Linked DNA regions of Arabidopsis thaliana. The protein of the gene in region 2 interacts with the protein of the main gene of each other region in a biochemical or structural test. Each region holds a gene or a part of one and is shown on either strand. Other genes may lie near its edges. The genes, in order: AT1G67510, AT2G02780, AT1G66830 and PRK1.

Region 1 (5,194 bases), on a different chromosome or scaffold from region 2:
AACCGGATCATTCCGTTTTAAATCTTCTAACCAAACGGTTATAGTTCGGTTCATTTTGTTTAAGACGTGGTTACCTTCAGTGAATCGCTCTCTCTTGCTTGTAGTTTCTTCTACTCTACCTAACCGCGACGCCGCCTGAGTTATCCCAGCTACTTAACCGTTCTCCGACAAAGGTTGCCGGTGTAAAATGTCAAAAAGCAGAAAAGCAACAAACATTTAATTAGTGGGCCTGATAAATATAATGGGCCAATCTAAATTTTAATTATCCATTATGCTTTTTTGAAAATTTACCCCAAGTTAAATATTCTGTGACCCGTTTAAATCTAAAAACCCAAATCCACATTTGCATAAACTCTATGAAAAGCGAAATTTCAAATGGATGGTTCTTGGAAGATATTAGATCTTGTATGTGTATCTTCAACTGAAGGACAAGACAAGTGCCCGTTAACTAGGAGTTGTCTTTTAACAGATGAGAAAAAGACAGCAAAATAAAAGACAAAGCCATTTAAAGCCTAAAGTATAACTCATTTGATTCAATTTTCATAACAAATAATTATTCAATAAAAACAAATCGACCACTAGTCCCAGACGTGGGAGTGACGTAACGACCTCGTGTAAGAACTATCGGAGATACAAAAATATAATAGGAAAAATTAAAGAAAAAAGAATATAATAATTGAATCAGATTTTGTCGATGTTCTCAGAGACGTTCTTCATACGTGGACGGACTTCAGGGTCACCTTCGGTACAAGCGAGAGCTAGATGAAAAACGGACAAGACTTGTTGCTTGGCGTGAACTTCTTGAAGTAACATTGGATCAACCATGTCCGACAATGGAGTCTCCTCTTCAAACCCTTTCCTCACCCACTTCACCAAATCCGGCACCTCAACAACCACCGTAGACGTCGAGGAAGAGCTTAACGGAGAAGAATCCGGCGATTTCCCGGTGAGAAGCTCCATAAGCACAACACCGAAGGAGTATACGTCCCATTTCTGAGTAGGCCTCCCTCCAGGGAGCCGGGCCTCGGGGGCTTTATAGCCGTTGGATCTATCTGAGGGTTTGATGGAAGTGTAAGGAAGAGCTCCACCTAAGAAACCACCCGCAGCAGAGGAGGAGGAAGGTTCGTTAGAAGAGGCAGAAGCGGCAGTGATGGTGATGAGACGTGTGAGACCGAAGTCAGAGATGTAAGGAGTGAAGGAGGAATCAAGAAGAATGTTGGAAGGCTTAACGTCGCCATGTACCAACTTCCTTGGACTACACTCGTGTAGATAAGCTAACCCACGCGCAGCTCCTTTTGCGATCTTTATACGCGTTGACCATGTTAAGCTCGGTGATGGTTGACCATTCCTCCCTATTCACACACCAAAACAAACAAGTATCCAATATTAAAGTAAGTAATGAGTTACGATGAGAAAAAGACGGGACAGCTAGAGGCTCAACAGAGTGGGTGTATAAAATCATTACTCTTAGCCCACAAGTAAACTTCTCTCATCATTGTTTCCTCATTCTGCTATTTTTACTAATTACTTCTACTCTAAGACTCTACCACACTTAAATCATATACTAATACTTAAAAAAGATATTTATTATTCGGACATGTCGAATTCTCTTACAAGACATGTCTCTTTTACATGTAACTTGACTAAATTCTAAATTAAAATACCAAAATATGCCTAAAAAGAGAAAGAAATCTTGGTCCACTCTTGCTTTGACAATCCCACAAACTATCTCTCAGATCTAATCTCATCTCTCACTAAGGTAGTAATGTCTAATCTAGCGTTGACAAAGTCAAAGTCAACATAAATTTCTTAAGTCAATAGAACAGAACCGGATCTCAAACTTTAGTTAGTAGACTAATTCGATAAGCAGAAAAAGAAGAAGGAAGAAGTAATGTAATACCTCTAAGAGCATCAGCTAAACTTCCATTGTTAACGAAGTCACTAATCAAAAGCTTCTCATCAGGAGCCCAATAATAAGCTCTTAACTTCACCACATTAGGATGTTTCACTTTCCCCATAGCTTGAACCTCCGTAACAAACTCTTTATACCTCTGTTCCCCTCCTTCCCCAAGTCGCCGCACCGCCACCGGAACTCCATTCCCTAACACCACTTTATACACTATCCCTAACCCACTCTTCCCCAAAACATATGCAGAAGCTCTCAACAACTCATCAAGCTCAAAAGAAAACCCTTTATCAATCGCTACAAGCTCTCCATCTCCTTTCCCTTCTCCTCTCTCATTACCTTCCGCTTCCGAATCATCCTCTTTCGGAAACCCCGTGATACAACAACACGATTTCCCCTTCACCGAACCACCACCGAGTTTCGCATTCCCTGTGCAGCTACACCCTCCCTCAGAGTCTTTTTTCTTCCAGTACAAGTAAACTAACACTAAACCAATAAAAGCTACACTTGCTGCATCTGCCACCGAGATCAACACTATTAATCCAGTACTTAACCCTCTTCTAGAATCCGCATTATTCTCGGGCGACTTTCGAGTCCCCGGAGAGTTCTCATCAGTGTCTTTACAAGTTTTCTGGAGAGGGAAACCACACAGTTTCGGATTATTGAGAAATGCGGTTGGCCCCTGGTTAGAGAACGAACCAGATTGAGGAATCTCGCCGGAGAAATCGTTGTTCCGGAGATCAAGAGAGACTGTCACCGGTAGATTTCCTAAGGAATTAGGGATTTGGCCGGATAAATGGTTAAAGGAGAGATTCAAAGTACCAGAGAGAGACTTAAGCTCTCCGATATCCTTAGGGATTTCGCCGGAAAATTCGTTAGCAGAGAGATCAAGCTGAGCTAAATTAGTCAATTCCGGCCAGATATCACCAGGAATCTCACCGGAAAAGTTGTTAGCGGAGAGGATCAACCGTTGAAGCTGTTTACACTTGTTGAGATCCGGTGAAAGAGTTCCAGAGAGCGAATTCATAGACAAATCGAGATTCTGAAGCTTTGGGAGTTTACAGATCGAAGGAGGAAGAGTACCGGAGAGATTGTTACCGTATAAGAAGATACTATGAAGCGACGTCGCGTTGAATAATTGAGTAGGAATTGAACCGTAAAGTTCGTTGTTGTGGAGGTTAAGACGACGGAGGTAAATAAGTGAGCCAAGCTCTGAGGGGATGTAGCCACGGAGATGTTTTCCGGCGAGGGAAATTCCAACGACGCGAGAGGTAGAAGAGTCTGAGATGTTCATACAGGAGATTCCGGACCAATGACAAGGATCGGTGTCGTTATCGTTCCAATCGGAGAAAGCGGAGGAGGAGGAGTGATCGACGGCGGATTTGAGTGAGAGTAAAGCGATACCGTCGGGGGAAAGAGAAAGAGAAGGAGAAGTGTTGAGGAGATGAAGAAGAAGATGGAGAAGAAGTGAGAGAAGGATCATTTCTCTGTACTTGAATTTTTCTGGTTTGTGAAAATAACAGAGAGTGAAGAAGGTGGGTGACGAAAGAATGAGAGATTGGTTGGTTCTTGAAGGGTATTTATTTATGTTAGTTATACCTTTTTAATCATACTGTAATCAATTAATTAAGGGCAAAACATCAATTTATGGCAACGTATTTAATAATTCAATTACAAATTTTTTGTTTTCATTTAATTTAGTTTGACATAACACATTTTTGTAATAATGTTTGCCAAAATTTCTATTGGTCATCAGTAATTTTGTCGATTGATACCGTTTTGATTGTGACTAATCGTAAAATATATAGCGGTATTACAAATATCATTTTTATTGTAATGTTTTAGAAAAAAAAGTTTTACTGTTTGGGGGTTCATAAATTAGATCCACTATTAACATAAAATTATCTAAATTAGTAATGTTTATATTGATGAGTACTATAATTTTGACTGACTGTGAGTACTGTAATTTTGAGACTTTGTGAACAAAGGTAAAAGTATGGTGGCATGTGTAATTGATTGCCAATTATATATTTATTTATCATAATGATATTTTTTTTTCGCCATTTTTTTTTTTTCATTATAATGATATCATAATGATAAAGAAACAAAAAAAGAGAGAAAAATATCATAGTGGTCCTCACAAACATGGATTAGCCTAATCCAAATGTTGATTAGGGTAAATAACTAACACTACTCACGTAAGTGTTAGGGATTAGCAAATGAAGGAGGTACGGAACATTGTAACTCCTTGGGAACTGTTACGGTCAGGGTCCCTGTCCCTCACTTAGCCGTCGAAGTAAATGCCATGCCTTTGACACGTGCTCGCTGGTCTCTCAAAGTCTCTGTATAGAAGTTTTTTCCAATAATTGTGTTTAAAATTGAGTTTTATAAATCTTTTTCTTATTATAAATCTTTTTCTTATTATTTCAATTTTGCGACTAACATCTTAGAATATTTTTCATAAAAGGGTTATCAATTTAGTTTAAATTAATTTTTCTGTAAATTTACATTTTAGAATCAGTTTAAAATGAATTTTCTGTAAATGTACATTTAAACTATACTATTTGAGGTGTGTTGTTAATGTCGTTATGTCCCCCTATAATCATTAAAACACGCTTAGAAGCTAACTAAAGCATGAAATCTATAAGATAATATCTTATTTAAGTGAAGTATGAGAAATGAGATTAAATCATTTTATTTATCACATCATGTTTCTACTGTCTAGTCTACTAAACTAGGATAAAATTATTTCACCGTCATTGTTGCTAGTTTCGAAAGTGGCTTTATATTTGCTATGCTTACGGATTCTTTTGGTTTTGGCTGGCTTGGCTAAATTTTAATTCTATTATTCACATGATCAAGAAATTGAACCAAAATTAATATCACTACTTACCAATTTGGTATGAGTTTTTTTTTTCCGACCAATGTTGTCCGCAACTGTTAAAATATACAGTACATCTACATCATACATGTTTCTGTCATGTGGTAGTTCGATTTGTAGAATGGACCAACAAACTACTCTCACGTGTTACCATACAGATATTATATCACGTTCTACCATACAATCTTAACACATATAGATATAGTCTCAAGATTGAAAATGAACATCGTAAAGATTACTCAACTTCAGCAGCTCTTTAAAGTTTTGTATTACCAACAAAAAATTTCCAATACAAATACTGGTGGAAAAATATTCTCCCGAATTTTGCTTTTTCCCTTCTACTTTGCTCTTTTTTTTATTTTTCATTGTTCTTACATCATTTAGCCGTCACACCCAATTGATAAAAA
Region 2 (5,397 bases):
GTATGTGTTTGTGATCATCGAGCGTTTGTCATGATCCTGTCTTCTTGTGCCTATCTATCTTGGAGGCTCAAGAGATTGGTCAAGAAGTAAGAAGCTAGTAAAAGCCAATGGTATTGTAACAAAATTTGTTTTGTGAGCGAAAATGCATTGATCAGTAGTATGTATGCTAGGTGAGGTAACTTGGCAAAGCCACTTGCTGTTTTCGACATCTTACCTAACCTGGGTATAGCTATGGTTATTATAGTTATGTGGAACACAAGCACTTGTTTTTAGCTAGCGATACAAGTCATAACAAAGGAAGTTTATAGAATGCTGGATGAGGTAGAGACTTCTGTATTGGAGATTGCCCGAAACACGGAGTGTGGTTGAGATGGAGAGGTTAGACGTGAGCATAGTGAGAGGTTTGCAGTAACTTTTGGGATTTTCTATAGTATTCCAGGCACAGAGATTCTTGTTATAAAGAACCTGTGAAGGTTTTTGAAGATTTTGATGTCTTCATCAAGCAGGTTAGCAAGATTGTAGACTGCTGATTTGTTTTAAGAGATGCACGAATGTTCAGCGAAAGCAAGCGCGAATACAACAGAAGAGTCTGCAATGTTGTCGAGCAAAGCTGGACACACTCTCTTACATGTCTTTGTGTGTTTTTCAACTCCTTTTGCTTTTTATTCACAGATTACTAAGTTAGCTAATAAAAGATATTTCAGGTAGTCCATGAAACTACATCTTGACTTGTTTGAAACTTATTATTGTTTCTACAGTTTTTGCCTCTCTTTATGATCATTTCATTCATATATTGCTTTCATGGATGATTCATGATTCCCACTGCTTGGTCTCCATCCTTGCTGCACTTGAATTGTATACTGTAGATTCCACACAACGTCTTCTATGGAAGGACGCTTGCTCTGATCTTCGCAAAGACAGTTGATAGCAAACTCTACTGTCGTCCTCAACGACTCATAAGCATATGATCCTTTAACAGATGGATCTGCTAAGCTGCTCAATACTGATGGTTCATCTCTCAAACCGTTCTCCAGCTGCAGGAAATAATAACATTGAGGTTCTAAATTTGTAAGCCGTGTCGGATTCTTAAAGATGAAAAGGTTCTGACTGAAACAGAACAGACCTGAAGCTTCAAACTTCCCATCTCTGAAGATCCTGCAGCAACTACTTTCCCTGTGATGATTTGTAGTAGTATCACTCCAAACTGGTACACATCTTCTTTCTCTCTATCTTCATTACTGCACATTATTCATTAACAAGTTTCAAAATTTGATAGAAGAGAACACATTTGATCATATCTTAAGAAACAACAACAACCTCCGAGGTTTTTTGGCTTGAGGCCTCTCTTCTCCAACCTAGAAATGCCATTAAATTTTCTTAGATTCAATTAATAGAAGAAGAAATAAAACAAAGTTTTATACCTTGGATGGTAAAGGAATAGTATAGCCACTGATTTTTACTGTGAGTGTTTCATCAAGCATGATGTTCTCTATCTTCAAATTGTTCCCAAAGATTCCTGGTGCTACTCCCATATGCAAGAACTGTATCCCTCGAGCGACTCCTATTGCTATCGCCATTCTCTGAGGCCATTTCAGTACCTCTTTCTTCCTACAGTCTGATCACAAAAATTCCCATAATGAATAACCATTTGAGTCTATGGAAACCTGAATATATATTCTAATCTTTTTCAGGTTATTATTACTTGTGAGAAAGTCCCGCAATGATCCACTAGAGATGTATTCTTGAACAATGAAGATGGTGTGTCCAGCGTGTTGATTGTGGTCTTGGTTACTGGCAATGGAGTGTCCAAGAACGCTAACCAAATGCATATGCCTTAGCTTTGATAAAACTTCCATCTGTTGAGCTAAGCTTTGTGGCAAGCTCTTCTGCTTCAGCTTGATAACTCGCACTGTCACTGGTATGCCTTCTCTTAGACAACCTCTATACAGCTGTTCGAATACCAAATATATTAAGTAATCTATTAGGTTCGTCGCCAGAGTCTCAAGTCAAGTTTTTGTTTTTACCTGTTCGCAGAACAGGCTAGCTGCATCAAAGTCGTTAGTCGCTTCTTCCAGTTCCTCCAAGGAGAAAACGCGGTACGGTGGCAAACCAATCACTGCAGATCTCATTGTCTGTGGTACACGTCCTACACTCAGAAAGATCCTGTTAATGGTTTTTGCTAGAGAAAGACTCAGTTTCAAGTGTCCAAGTATTAATAAGATAAGTCATTGTTTACTTGAATCTGGTAATGACTTAGAGCTGGCAGTTGTGGTGCTGCAAACAGAGACTTTATCAGAGGCATGTCTCTCATTGTTGCTGTTGTTCACTTCAAAAGGATCATCTTCTGATCTTGATCTTCTTCTTTTGAGGGCAATCAAAACCAACAGAACCAAAATTGCTGCAAGGATGATCACACCGATGATTATCAAAATCACTAACCCGAGTTTGATTCTTGCAGAATCTTTATCTTTAGCCTTGGGGATAGGTTCCACAGCTATTGCCTTGCTTGCTTGGTTTTGACAGAAAGAAAGCGGACGCTGATACTTCGCGTTAGGAGTGCCAATCAAAGACAAGCAGTTGAATGAGAAAAGCACTGTCTGATTACTGAAACTCTTTGAAGAGTAGCAAGAAGGAAGCTTTCCAGTTAAAAGATTGTGAGACACGTCTAAAGTTATAATCTTTGAGGAGGTGCAAGAAGAATTTGGAAGTGACCCGCTTAACAGATTCTGATCCAAACTGAGAATTTGAAGAGAAGGAATCGAAAACAGAAACTCTGGAATCGACCCGGTGAATTCGTTGGAAGAAAGGTCTAAACTTTGAAGGTTATTCAGCTTCTTGATCTGTTCTGGAATCTTGGATCTAAAGGAGTTGTTCTTCAATGAAACAGTGGTGAGCTTACTTGGGAGTGAAGGAACTTCAGGACCGAGTTTATTACCTCCCAAATCCAGCTCTTGAAGATTTGATAATCCTCTGAGATCATCAGAGACAAAACCCCAGAACATATTGTCTCTTAAAACAAGGCTTTTCAGATTCTTCAAAGACACAATCTCTTCTGGAATCTTCCCAGAGATGAAATTAGAGCTAAGATTGAGAGACTCAAGAGACGGTGATAGCTTAGTGATGATCTTAGGAGAAAGAGAACCAGAAATTCCGAGAGAAGTAAGAGACAAAGTCTTTAAGCTCGATAGTTGTGTAAGAAGAGTGAAGAGTTTATGAAAACTTCCAGAGAGCTTACTAGTTCTGTTCCCGGTGACGGTTAACTCTGTTACGTGACCATGGAGGCAGATGATTCTCAAGGAAGGAGACGGACGAATGTGACAGAAGTTGGTTGTATCAGTCCATGATTGAAGAACCTGTGGATATTGTAGTTGCTTCTGGATTTCAAGAAGAGTTTGTGATTCACTTGAAGCTACCTGAGACTCAGAGAGTACTGGAAGAAGGAAAATAAGAAGAAGAAAAGTGAAGGAAGATAAATGGATTTGAAGAGAAATCTGCATAGTGAAGATGTGTTTTGCCTTTAGAGAAACAGAAACTCACTGAAAGTTATCATTTTTCTAGGAACAAAGACAGATCTATAGGTAGTGTAGAGGAAAACTTTGGATCAAGAGAAGAAGAAGAAGAAGTAAATGAAAGTAGAAAAGCCAATTAAGGTGGAGGCAATAAATGCAATCTTTAAGTTCTTAAACTTGGTTTGGTTGTTTGTTCATTACTGCACATTGCACAACCTCAACTTGACAGACTGTTTTGCAATGAATCCAAGAAGATGAAATGTTTATTTATTTGATTTGATTACTACTATAACAAATTAACAATAAGAACTTGTATTTCACATGATTTTTGCTTTGTTTTATTAGTAAAACAAGTGCTTTTGGTTATATATGATTGATCAGATAAGATTATAGAGATGTTTCATTACTTGTCGGTGATAGGTAATGAGGATTAAGAAATTTATGTCGTGTTTTGTCTTCGAGAGAGAGAGAGAAGCCATTAGGTTTGTGTCTTTTCTTTAAAAGTGTGGTTAGAGATTCTACCAAATGTCGAGCTGTTTCTTTTATTCTGATGAACTGTTCATTTACTAATGTTAGAAAATTTGAATGGATTTTATATGATCAAGCACATCTGCACATGCAAACGGCCTTGGAATAATCGTCACTGCGAAAGTATCATTTAATATTTTCTGCAACAGACATTTTTTTTTTATCGAAAAATATGCATTTAAAATTCAATTATTTAATTTTTATTAAAATTCAATTATTTAATTTTATTAAAATTCAATTACAAATCAAGTTTGACAAAAAAAAAGAGAGGTTATTTTGGGCTTCATACGTGTAACATTTAGCCCGTATATTATATATAATACGGTTAGGCCCAAAATTGTACAACCTTTGAGTCCATATATATTTCCAAATATTTTAGTTTCTATATGATTTTTTTTTTTTTTTTTTTTTTGACAAGTAATTATACAAAAAATGATTTACTTAACATTGGGACATATATGTACTATGCTTATTCCTTGTGAATGCTAATACAGTAAATTATTTATAAACTAATCCTCGATAAATTACTATTTTTACAAATTAATAAATTCTTGACGTTTTCAATGTAATAAATAACACAAATCAATGAAATTATAAAATAATAAGTTTTTAAAAACTCTTACGTAAACATATGATCTCATCAATATCATAAATTAATAATTTTACACTTATTAATATATATATATATATATTTAATTAAATTAGTGGGATTTAACTCTAGTATTGTTCATTTTTCTTAAATTTGTATAAAATTTTTAGTAGAGTTCATTTCTAATATTTTTACTATATTGAACAAAGTGTTTTTTGTTTACTAACTTAACAATTGGTTTTTTATTTGTAATTTATTTTTGAAAGACATTGATTATAAAGACAAAAACTACTTCTCACATAGAAATTTTAAAAAATTACAAAATTAATAAAATCTCTCTATAAGATTTATTAATAAATTAATACCTTTATAAATTAATTAGAATTTATCGGTTCCGAGATTATTAATTTATTAAGGTTTAAAACTGAGCCTATAAACAAAAGAGGAGGAACAAGATCGTATTTCTAGGGTCTCAAACTACAAAAATGTAATGTATGAATTCATTGTAATCTATTTCAGTTTGTTTTTTACTTAGCTATTTAGGATCCTAGAATTTATTTATGAGCTTCTTTTGATTAAACAAAACTTTCGATTATTGTGTTTCAAGAAAAGTAAACTTCTCGGATCCTAAAACTTTGATTAGACGTCATAACATGTTTTTTATTCAGAATCTGATTTGCAGCTTTTTTGCCTTTCATTTACTGTTTTACACTAAATATATAGACAATCATCAAAATTTAAAATCTTCTATTTAGTTTTAGCTCATTTATT
Region 3 (5,501 bases), on a different chromosome or scaffold from region 2:
AGGATGATGTAATGCTTGAGAGACTCAATACGAAGCTGCTTATTGCGAAAGATCAATTAGAAGCAGTATCTAAAGCTGAAGAAAGAATCAGCTATCTTGCTGACAATTTAACTACTTCGTTTGAGAAACTAAAGAGTGATAGAGAAGCTGCAAAGAAAGAGGAGCTTAAGCTTAGAGAAGAAGCAAGGATCATCAACAATGAGATACAGAAAACCGAAACAGGATTTGATGGAAAGGAAAAAGAGTTGCTTTCCAAGTTAGATGAGCTTGAGAAAGCGAAGCACGCAGAGAGTTTAGCTCTAGAGAAGCTTGAAACAATGGTAGAGAAAACAATGGAAACTCGAGAAATGGAATCTCGGCGTAATTCAACTATTACAATATCGAGATTTGAGTACGAGTATTTGAGTGGAAAAGCTTGTCATGCTGAAGAAACTGCAGAGAAGAAAGTGGAAGCAGCAATGGCGTGGGTCGAAGCACTAAAGGCTAGCACTAAGGCGATTATGATAAAGACAGAATCTTTAAAGAGAGTGAGTGGGAAAACAATGTTGGAAGAAGAGAGGGAATCGTTTAGGATGCAGAGGTCGCTATCGATAAAGAGATTGGTCCAAGATGAGATTCAGAAGTTCAAGGGAAATTCAGAAGACAATGGCTTGATCAACTCTCCTAAACCGGTGAGAAAATCGGTTAGGCTGAGCGGGAAATTTGCACCGGTTCAGGGAGGGAAGTCGAGAAGGTACTCATCAGGGAACCGAGCGACTCCAACATTCTTTGTAATCAAGAAGAAGAAGAAAGTTCCAAACATGGTCAAATTTTTTAGCCGGAAGAGGCGTAATTCTTCTTTAGAACAATGAGAAGTTTAGTTATCTTGTTGAAGTGAGTGTAAGTTTTTTTATTGCTTGCGTGTTAAGTTTCACATTGTTTTTAGCTTGTAAGTGATTTATTTGTTTTGTATTTTTGTTATTTTTTGATAATAAAAAAATGATGTATTTATGTAGACTTTAGGTGTATATTAATGAAAATAATGTATTGCATTGTATAAGAGTCAGGTAAATTTTTTCATATTTGATTTTGGTAATTTGAATGGTTTATATCGAACTAGAACCAACAAATTTCATACATGACCAGCCGTTGATAAAAGAAATTTTGGCATAAACTATATTATAGACACACAAATCAAAGTAAATTAAAGTAAAAACGAATTTAATTGTAAAGAATGAATCATATTCATATTTTAAAAAAAACAAAATTATGTACTTGTATCTTTTTTTTCTGGTCAACTAGAAATACATAAAAGATTACCGGCTAAGCTAATTTGTACCACAAACGTCTACAAAATTTTTTATAAATTTATGTTTTATATTTTAAATTAAATGCTCCTCGAAATAATATTTTGCTAATGTTAAAACCAAATTAACTTATAAAATTATGCAACAATCATAGTAGAAATGTTTGGCCATGACTCATAAAATTCACACAAGTAATATTATTGTTTTCATATATTTTTCCGACAAATGTTAACTCTTTTCCCCCAAACTAGTTATATTTGTCTCAGACTCCAAAACAGAAACAAACAATCTAGAAGTAAACTAGAGTACAAATCAAATCGAAACGAAAAACTTAAATTGACCGGCACAACAATAATTCTGGTGGAGATTTGACTTTAGGATTTGGAAGTAAAATTGTCAATACATTACCCCACCACTAACTAAACAACTAGAAACTAGAAAAGCTATTCCTCATTACCTTACGTGTCCCCTACTGTTTCAATTATAGCCTCAATCATCGCTAATTCCATTGACATGTAAATGAGGTATATACAATTTGTTTGATGCATGAATTTAGATATAAGTTTCTTCAAACATATAAATATCTTCAAAAAATTTAGAATTGATAAGAAGTTAAAACTGTTGACTTGATTGAAAACTAGGCCAGTCCAAGCTATATAAACACTAATTTCTTGGAGATATTTAGGAGCCAAACTTTACTCAATTCAGAATTGTGTCTCTCTTTAGAGATGTCTCAGTTATTTCTCATTCTCTGCTTCATTCTAACTCATTTCTTTGCCATAGCCACTTCTCTAAACGATCAAGGTCTTGCTCTTCTTTCCTTTAAACAATCCATACAAAACCAGAGTGACTCTGTTTTTACCAATTGGAACTCTTCAGATTCAAACCCTTGTTCTTGGCAAGGTGTTACATGTAATTATGATATGAGAGTTGTCTCGATTCGTCTTCCTAATAAACGTCTTTCGGGTTCTCTTGATCCATCCATTGGAAGTCTCTTGTCCCTTCGTCACATTAACCTAAGAGACAATGACTTTCAAGGGAAGTTACCTGTGGAACTCTTTGGACTTAAAGGGCTTCAAAGCTTGGTGCTTTCTGGAAATTCTTTTTCCGGGTTTGTCCCAGAAGAGATTGGTAGCTTGAAGAGTCTAATGACTCTGGATCTTTCGGAGAATTCTTTCAACGGTTCGATTTCTTTGTCGCTTATTCCATGCAAGAAGCTGAAAACGCTTGTTCTTAGCAAGAACAGTTTCTCTGGAGATCTTCCAACAGGGTTAGGTTCTAACTTGGTTCATCTTCGGACACTGAATCTTTCTTTCAATCGCTTGACTGGAACGATCCCCGAAGATGTAGGAAGTCTGGAGAATCTGAAAGGTACACTTGATCTTTCTCATAACTTCTTCTCAGGTATGATTCCAACAAGTCTTGGAAATCTCCCTGAGCTTCTCTATGTCGATCTTTCTTACAATAATCTCAGTGGTCCGATACCAAAATTCAACGTTCTGTTGAATGCCGGTCCAAATGCTTTCCAAGGGAACCCTTTCCTCTGTGGATTACCGATAAAGATTTCTTGCAGCACAAGAAACACACAAGTAGTTCCTTCTCAACTATATACAAGAAGAGCCAACCATCATTCTAGACTCTGCATCATCCTTACAGCCACTGGAGGCACAGTCGCCGGAATCATTTTTCTTGCTTCATTATTCATCTACTATCTCCGAAAAGCATCGGCTCGTGCAAACAAAGATCAAAACAACCGAACATGTCATATAAACGAGAAACTGAAGAAGACGACAAAGCCAGAGTTTCTCTGTTTCAAGACTGGGAATTCAGAATCTGAAACGCTAGATGAGAACAAAAATCAACAAGTTTTCATGCCAATGGACCCGGAAATCGAATTTGACCTCGACCAGCTTCTAAAAGCCTCGGCTTTTCTTCTAGGGAAGAGCAGGATCGGGCTTGTGTACAAGGTAGTTCTTGAAAATGGATTAATGTTAGCCGTTAGACGATTAGAAGATAAAGGTTGGCTACGGCTCAAAGAGTTTCTAGCTGATGTCGAAGCAATGGCGAAAATCAAGCACCCTAATGTCTTGAATCTCAAGGCTTGTTGCTGGTCTCCTGAAGAGAAACTCCTGATTTATGATTACATACCAAATGGTGACCTTGGTTCTGCAATTCAAGGTAATTTTAGTGTCAAAATCGCATAAATCTATGACCATAGTTAAGATTCAAGACTGATTCATAAAAATTTATGACAGGTAGACCTGGTAGCGTGTCATGCAAGCAACTAACCTGGACGGTCCGGTTAAAAATATTGAGAGGAATAGCAAAAGGATTAACTTATATTCATGAGTTTAGTCCCAAAAGGTATGTCCATGGACATATAAACACAAGCAACATACTTCTAGGACCGAATCTTGAACCGAAAGTATCCGGTTTCGGTCTAGGTCGTATCGTCGACACGTCTTCAGATATCAGATCAGACCAAATCTCTCCCATGGAGACAAGCTCACCAATCCTCTCTAGAGAATCATATTACCAAGCTCCTGAAGCAGCTTCAAAAATGACTAAACCGTCTCAGAAATGGGATGTGTATTCATTCGGTTTAGTGATACTCGAAATGGTAACCGGAAAATCTCCGGTTAGTTCAGAAATGGATTTGGTTATGTGGGTTGAATCGGCTAGTGAGAGAAATAAACCGGCTTGGTATGTTCTTGATCCGGTTTTAGCTCGTGATAGAGATTTGGAAGATAGTATGGTTCAAGTCATCAAGATCGGTTTAGCTTGTGTGCAGAAGAACCCAGATAAAAGACCACACATGAGAAGTGTATTGGAGAGCTTCGAGAAATTGGTAACTTCTATTTAATTATTATTAATTAATGAAAAGTAATAATTTTAATTAGATTATGTGTTTACTTCATAATTTTCAGATTACTTCATAAATTTCATGTGATAATTTTTATGGTTTTTCTGTTAATCATTCATAATTGTGATATTATTATGAAAAATAAAAGGACACAAGGGAGGATATTTTTATTGAACTTATATAATTAACAAAACTGTTAATACAGTACAAAATTAACATAATGCTTTAAAAATCTTTTACCCAAACCCGACCCGGAATTATGAACCGGAGCTTTTTTTCATAGGTCAAATCTCTCTTTGATGTCATCGAAACTGTACCCGCCGCCAACTCCAAATCCGTATCCAAACCCGAACCCGATACCACAACCAATACCGAATCCAAGAACCACGTTAGAATGGTCAAGTCCTTCAGAGGCACCTATTCCGAGCCCGCCGGAGAGACCAATGCCGATTCCAGCGCCGCAGCCAATGCCGCCGCCGATTCCGGGACCGACGGTTGTTGTCTTGATGTTATCGATTTGTGTACGGAGGAATCTGGTAACCGGAAATTCTGATTTCCCGGTTTTGACGTCTGGTTTACGGCTCCAGAGTTTATTAGTTGATCCCATTGGTTTTGTGATTGGGCAAATGACGATCACTGAATTGTGAATTTATGAGTGATGAGAAAATCAGATAAGATTTGAGAAAAAAGATGAATATGCGTTGAGGTATTTATTGGGCTTATTGTCGCATATATTGGGCTTTAACCCATTTAAGTCTCTACAGATTCTCTCCTATTTATCAGTTTTTTTTAATGATAAAAGATACACATGAGATACAAATTCTTCAAGAAAATGTTAAATACAGATTTGGATTAAGTTATATGATATTTTGTTTTTAAAATGTCGTAGAAAGGGTAAGAAGGTAATTTGGGCAGGGTTGTTGGGTTAGAAGGAAGGAAACATTTTCTAGTTAGTTAGCTACAACGAAAGATTTTGATTGAAGTATATTACACATAGGAAAGAAAGAGGGACCATAGTTAGTTAAAGTTGTGCTCTTTAAGCAAACAAAACTCACATATATTCCTTACCTTACTACGGTCGTTAACAACATGAAACTAAACATACATGCATATATCAAAAAACCAATTTAATCATCAATTCATTAACTATTCTTATTCATGATTGGCCCAACCAAACTTAATAAAATGACCTATTCTTCTTTATTTTTGTTTCTTCAAACACACCAATACATACTTCCTTATTCTCCAAGTTACAAACAAAACCTCCCCTCCTAACAAACTTTTTGTTTCCATCTATTTTTTTTTTCAAAATAGATTTTTGCTTGAGGTTCATATTTATATACTTGCTTAAT
Region 4 (4,924 bases), on a different chromosome or scaffold from region 2:
TGGTTCTATGTAAAAAAGGTTTACTTTAAACTCTAAAAAAGTAAAGAACTACACTGTATTAAAGACACATGTATGGGAAGTTGTACAACAGCATCCCCGATCTCATCCCTAAAGAGGCAGAGTCATATTTGACTCTCAAATCTGTATCTGCTCGTCTTGTTTTACATTGCCTAATAATCTACTTATACGTTTATACATGTCTATGTAACTTTCAGATGGTTCGAGTTCTTGTGGCAACATCAATCCGAGAAGCTGCCGCTGGTGCGGAAGATGATGCATTGTTAAAACTGCTAGAAGCTTCATGCAGACGAGCCACAGCTCCTCCAGCTCCATCTGAAGGTCTCTGTCTATTCGACGTTGGTTATACTGACTTTGACCCTCAAACTTCTCTCATTTCCTGAGAATGGCATGTTACATTTACTTAATCATATATTGGATGAAATCTGCATGATTTAGTATGTTTAGTCCGCTTGTCGTTAAAGCAAGCAAGACTTATTTTATTAATATCTCATGATTAATAGTAAGGGTATAGTTATATTTGCCCAAAGCCTTGAGTCATTGACAATGATTTTTATTTAATGGGTCTATTGCAAGATCTATTTACATGCCATATATGGTAACTATGTGAAGAAATCATGTCATGATCTACAGAAAGATGGAAGAGAGAAGTACAATAATCAGCGGTATTCATGCATTTGTGTGTCATGTTTGTTGCAGATACATTATATGCTATAACACAGGTTCAGCTTTCATCTACTTCAATTCCCTTAGTAAAAATGTCTACACATCCATCAAGTCTCATTGTTGTATACAGCACAAGATCAAACCCTTGTCTCTTTCTCATGCAAAGCTGATACTCTCGCATGACTCTCCTTTAGACGACCTACCATCAGTTTCACTCACATACGTTGAGTAGAAGTCGTCATCATCCCCTTCTCGCTCCTTCAACTCTTCGATCTTCTCCACAGCCTGTCCTATGTCCAACCTTTTCTCCACGTCGGGTTCACAACAGTTCAATCCGATCGTCAAGAGTTTGAGAATCTGTCCTTCACAATGGCTTGTCTTCCCCATACCCTTATCAAACAAACTTGGTGCCCATACCCCATGGAAACCCGAGTTCACCCAACTCGCTAAATCCTCTTCACTACTTTGTGAGAAATTAGCCGGGAATTTTCCCGTTAGGATCTCCAAGATAAGTATGCCAAGCCCCCATACATCGGTTTTCTTGGTGATACGTCGATGTTGCAAATACTCTGGAGATCTATAGGCCGCCATGTGCATTTGTGCCTTCTCTTGGTTGATCAACGGAATTAATCCATAGTCTGTGAGAAGTGGTTCAAATGTTTTGGTGAGAAGAACGTTGGAGGATTTGAGGTGACCATGTGGAGCCATTAGGCTAGGTAGGTCTTGGTGGAGATAGAACAACCCCTTTGCAACTCCCTTCACGATCTTCAATCTTGTTGGCCAGTCCAAACTTGGTTTTCCTAACGATTGATTACCTACAAACATTTGACTCGTAAGCATCGATAAATCTAACGACTTATAAGTGTAGAAATATCGAAAACTTACTATGAAGATTAATAGCCAAGCTTCCTCTCTCAGCAAAATCACATACTAAAAGCTTTTCCTCCTTCCTATAGTAATAAGCCACAATGGAAAGCAGATTATGGTGCATTAACCTCCCTAATCTTTTCATGTGCTCTTGAAACTCATCCCTCCCTGCATTGTTCATCTGCTTGAACCTCTTCACGACCATCATTTGTCCGCTTGATAGCACTGCTTTATAAGATGCTCCAAAACATCCACTTCCAAGTATCTCGGCCGAAGCCTTCAACAGATCTTGCAGGTCAAATTTTTCCCTATCTTCCCTCAAGAATGAAAGCTTTGTGTTCTCCACTCCAGCTGCTGCACCCATCCTCTTAGTAGTGCCTGAGCCTTTCCGGTGGTCGGCTTTCTTTCTGTCTCTACGACTTTGGTCTGCTTCTCGGATGCCGGTTTTCTTCTGTAGACTTGATGGTCCGGTTTCCACCGCCAAACGCGGTTTTTTATTCTTATAGCTGCGGTTAAGCAAGAAGATCACTCCAAGGATTATGAGTATTGTCAAGGCCGCGACTATTGCTGTTATAACGAGAGGTCCCCTTGATGATGATTTGGGTCGTGCCTCAGACTGTGGAGGATGTTCTATATAAGGAGAATCACATTCTGTTTCCAGCGGTTTTCCATATAAGCCTTTGTTACCTTCAAACACCTTTGGATCTGTCATGCTGAGACTCTCTGGTATTGGACCTGTTAATGCATTGTTTGAAAGGTTTAACAAGTGTAGCTGATGTTCAAACTCTGGTATCTCTCCAGTGAATTGGTTCCCGTCAAGTCTCAGTTCTAAAAGCTTGGGCAATTTGGCCACAGATGACGGAATTTGACCGGTAAACTTGTTTTGTGCCAAATGGACCTTCTTCAACCACCCCATACCTTCAAAAGCATCCCCTGGTATATCTCCTCCGAATTGATTGTTTGACAGGTAGAGTGACTTGAGAGCAGCGAGTTTCTTGAAGTCAGGGAATGGCCCTTCAAACTTGTTGTTCATGAAGCTTAGAGTCCTCAAGGATGTCAAACCCGACAATGCCTCGATGTCTATAGAACCAGAAAGCTCCAAGTTCTCCATCTGCAGTCTCCAGACGGAGCCGCCATTGCACAAGACACCAGACCAAGTGCAAGGAGGACTTTTAGCATTCCATGAGGCCAACGCGTTTTCCTGCCCAACAACTAAAGATTCCTTGAACTTGAGGATAGCCTCAGAATCTGAAAGACCATGAGTGGGTGTGGAGAAGAAAAGGAGGAGACATACTAGTGGTACCATGACGTTGTATACGCTGAGGGTACGCGCCTGCATGGGAGGCATGAGGCGCGTCCTCTTGAGAAACCTTTGAGAAAGGGACAATGTGATGTTTACAGCTACAGTTGGATTGACACAACAGAGAAAAAAGAAAAGAAAGATGAATGGTAAAGAGAAGGCTTTGCATCAAAAGCATTCCAATAATAGGTTTGTGGTGAAACTTAAATCTCTAATTGCTGACCTGTAATGTCCTTTAAGATTACATCAGACAGCACCAATACACAATTCTCTGTTTTATTTTCTATCTCATCAATTCAACAACCCCATTATCTATATTGGTAAACCCTAAACCCAAACTTGGTACTTCTGTTGAACTAAACAACAAGTTTCAGATATATTCGTTCTTATCTGGTCAAAAGCAGAGGAAGCTACCATTTTTGTTTTGACTTACACAACTATTAGATAACTATACCAACAAAAGAAAATTGAAAAGTCTGGATGTTTATGAAGTCAGTTACATCTATAAGGAGACAATAAGAAAGAGAGTCAAAAAGGTTTTTGTTGGGATGCATTTGCTAATATTAGCTTAGTCAAACGCGTTTCTCAAAATCTGTTTCATTTATATATAAACTCATTGAATATTTGTTTGTTGCAGAACGAAACCGAAACCGAGAGAAGAAAGTAGTGAAAATGGTGAGAACCTCCGAGAAAAGAGAAGAAAATATTACTCTTGCCATTGACAGAGACAAAGAGAGCCAAAACGCGTTGAAATGGGCGGTTAGCAATCTTCTTAGCCGAGGACAGACTCTTACTCTTCTTCATGTTAAACTCAAACAACCCTCCTCTCTTCCCTATTCTGGTATGACGACAAAGCCTATATTTTAACATTAGTTAACTTCTTTGTTTGAGGCTTAATATTCATATTAACATAAGGTTGATTCAATGCAGGATCAAACTTTAGTAAGCCAGGCGATGATCCGTCAGAATTGTTTCTTCCTTTTCGTTGCTACTGTGCTAGAAAAGATGTGCGTTTTCGGCTTTTCGCTTCACTTTTTTTATCTTGTCAAGCATTTCATTTCATTTGACTGACATTATCTTGTTACTGTGGCAGATCAACTGCCAAGATGTGGTTGTGGAGGACGTTAGTGCGGCTAAAGGAATAGTTGACTACGTGCAACAGAATGCAATCGAGACTTTAATACTCGGTTCTTCGAAGATGACTCTTTTAAGGTGATTAGGCAAACGCTTTTCTCCTTACTTAAGACTAAATCTGAGCATCCTTATATATATGTTTTATTTGATAGAAGGTTCAAAGCAGCGGATGTTTCAAGCACTGTCATGAAAAAGGCACCGAGTTTCTGTACAGTATATGTTATCTCTAAAGGGAAAATCTCGTTTCTGAGATCAGCTACAAGTTCACCTCCCCATTCCAATATGCCATCTATGCGACATCATTCACACGCTCAGACGAGCAATATGAATGGTATATATGACCAAGTTTTTTCAAGGACATCATATAAGCTAAAATAGCTTTTCCTAACTGATCAAATGTCTTTCATGTTGCAGTTGAAAGGAGGCAACAAACAATGCAAAGAACACATGATGAGATCAAGATAGAGATCAAGTATGTTTCTTACCTACATAAGTTGTTTTATTTTTTTCCATAAGTTACATTTTACTTATGGTAAACACACATGTTGAGTAGGTCTCCCTTTTCGAGAAGAGGATACGAAGGCGTTTACCAGCCCTCAATAACAGACTCTGATATATCATTTGTGAGTAGTGGAAGACCGAGTGTGGATCAGATGTTTCCTTCCTTGTATGACGATGTGGATGTTCCACGGCTCTCAGTCACCTCTGAGTATGGAGAAAATCGATTGAGTTTTGCTACAACATACTCAAAGCAGTCCATAGATCTTGGCTCACCATATGCACCAAACTCTTCAACCTCATTTGAAAGTGGGAGACAATCATTTTCACTACAGGGCCAAGTATTTTACTACTCTAAGACCAGATATGTGCACATGAGAAATGTTTTTTTCATTTGTTTAATTCTAAAATCTGACAGGATGAGCTTGAAACCGAGATGAG

Evidence for each region.
Region 1: the proteins of AT2G02780 (region 2) and AT1G67510 form a complex in vitro, tested with the Arabidopsis thaliana proteins (one large-scale study listed by BioGRID).
Region 3: the proteins of AT2G02780 (region 2) and AT1G66830 form a complex in vitro, tested with the Arabidopsis thaliana proteins (one large-scale study listed by BioGRID).
Region 4: the proteins of AT2G02780 (region 2) and PRK1 form a complex in vitro, tested with the Arabidopsis thaliana proteins (one large-scale study listed by BioGRID).

Annotation. Positions count from the first base shown.
Region 1 is NC_003070.9:25,296,796-25,301,989, forward strand, and holds AT1G67510 (Leucine-rich repeat protein kinase family protein), read right to left. Parts: upstream 3,559-5,194; 5' UTR 3,390-3,558; coding exon 1,901-3,389; intron 1,353-1,900; coding exon 682-1,352; 3' UTR 511-681; downstream 1-510.
Region 2 is NC_003071.7:781,150-786,546, forward strand, and holds AT2G02780 (Leucine-rich repeat protein kinase family protein), read right to left. Parts: upstream 3,774-5,397; 5' UTR 3,498-3,773; coding exon 2,237-3,497; intron 2,147-2,236; coding exon 2,025-2,146; intron 1,950-2,024; coding exon 1,703-1,949; intron 1,616-1,702; coding exon 1,422-1,615; intron 1,356-1,421; coding exon 1,318-1,355; coding exon of another isoform or gene 1,293-1,317; exon of another isoform or gene 1,239-1,292; coding exon 1,124-1,238; coding exon of another isoform or gene 1,061-1,123; exon of another isoform or gene 1,035-1,060; coding exon 783-1,034; 3' UTR 525-782; downstream 1-524.
Region 3 is NC_003070.9:24,929,348-24,934,848, reverse strand, and holds AT1G66830 (Leucine-rich repeat protein kinase family protein), read left to right. Parts: upstream 1-1,911; 5' UTR 1,912-2,014; coding exon 2,015-3,464; intron 3,465-3,541; coding exon 3,542-4,149; 3' UTR 4,150-4,426; coding exon of another isoform or gene 4,427-4,756; 3' UTR 4,757-4,951; downstream 4,952-5,501. Other genes in the region: PMI2 (PLASTID MOVEMENT IMPAIRED protein (DUF827)), read left to right, coding at 1-851; AT1G66820 (glycine-rich protein), read right to left, coding at 4,427-4,756.
Region 4 is NC_003076.8:13,594,893-13,599,816, reverse strand, and holds PRK1 (Leucine-rich repeat protein kinase family protein), read right to left. Parts: upstream 2,994-4,924; 5' UTR 2,900-2,993; coding exon 1,570-2,899; intron 1,500-1,569; coding exon 841-1,499; 3' UTR 548-840; downstream 1-547. Other genes in the region: AT5G35400 (Pseudouridine synthase family protein), read left to right, coding at 216-401; AT5G35380 (kinase with adenine nucleotide alpha hydrolases-like domain-containing protein), read left to right, coding at 3,524-3,692, 3,782-3,858, 3,945-4,063, 4,141-4,316, 4,400-4,457, 4,554-4,824, 4,902-4,924. UniProt on the Arabidopsis thaliana protein: Receptor-like kinase involved in the control of pollen germination and pollen tube polar growth.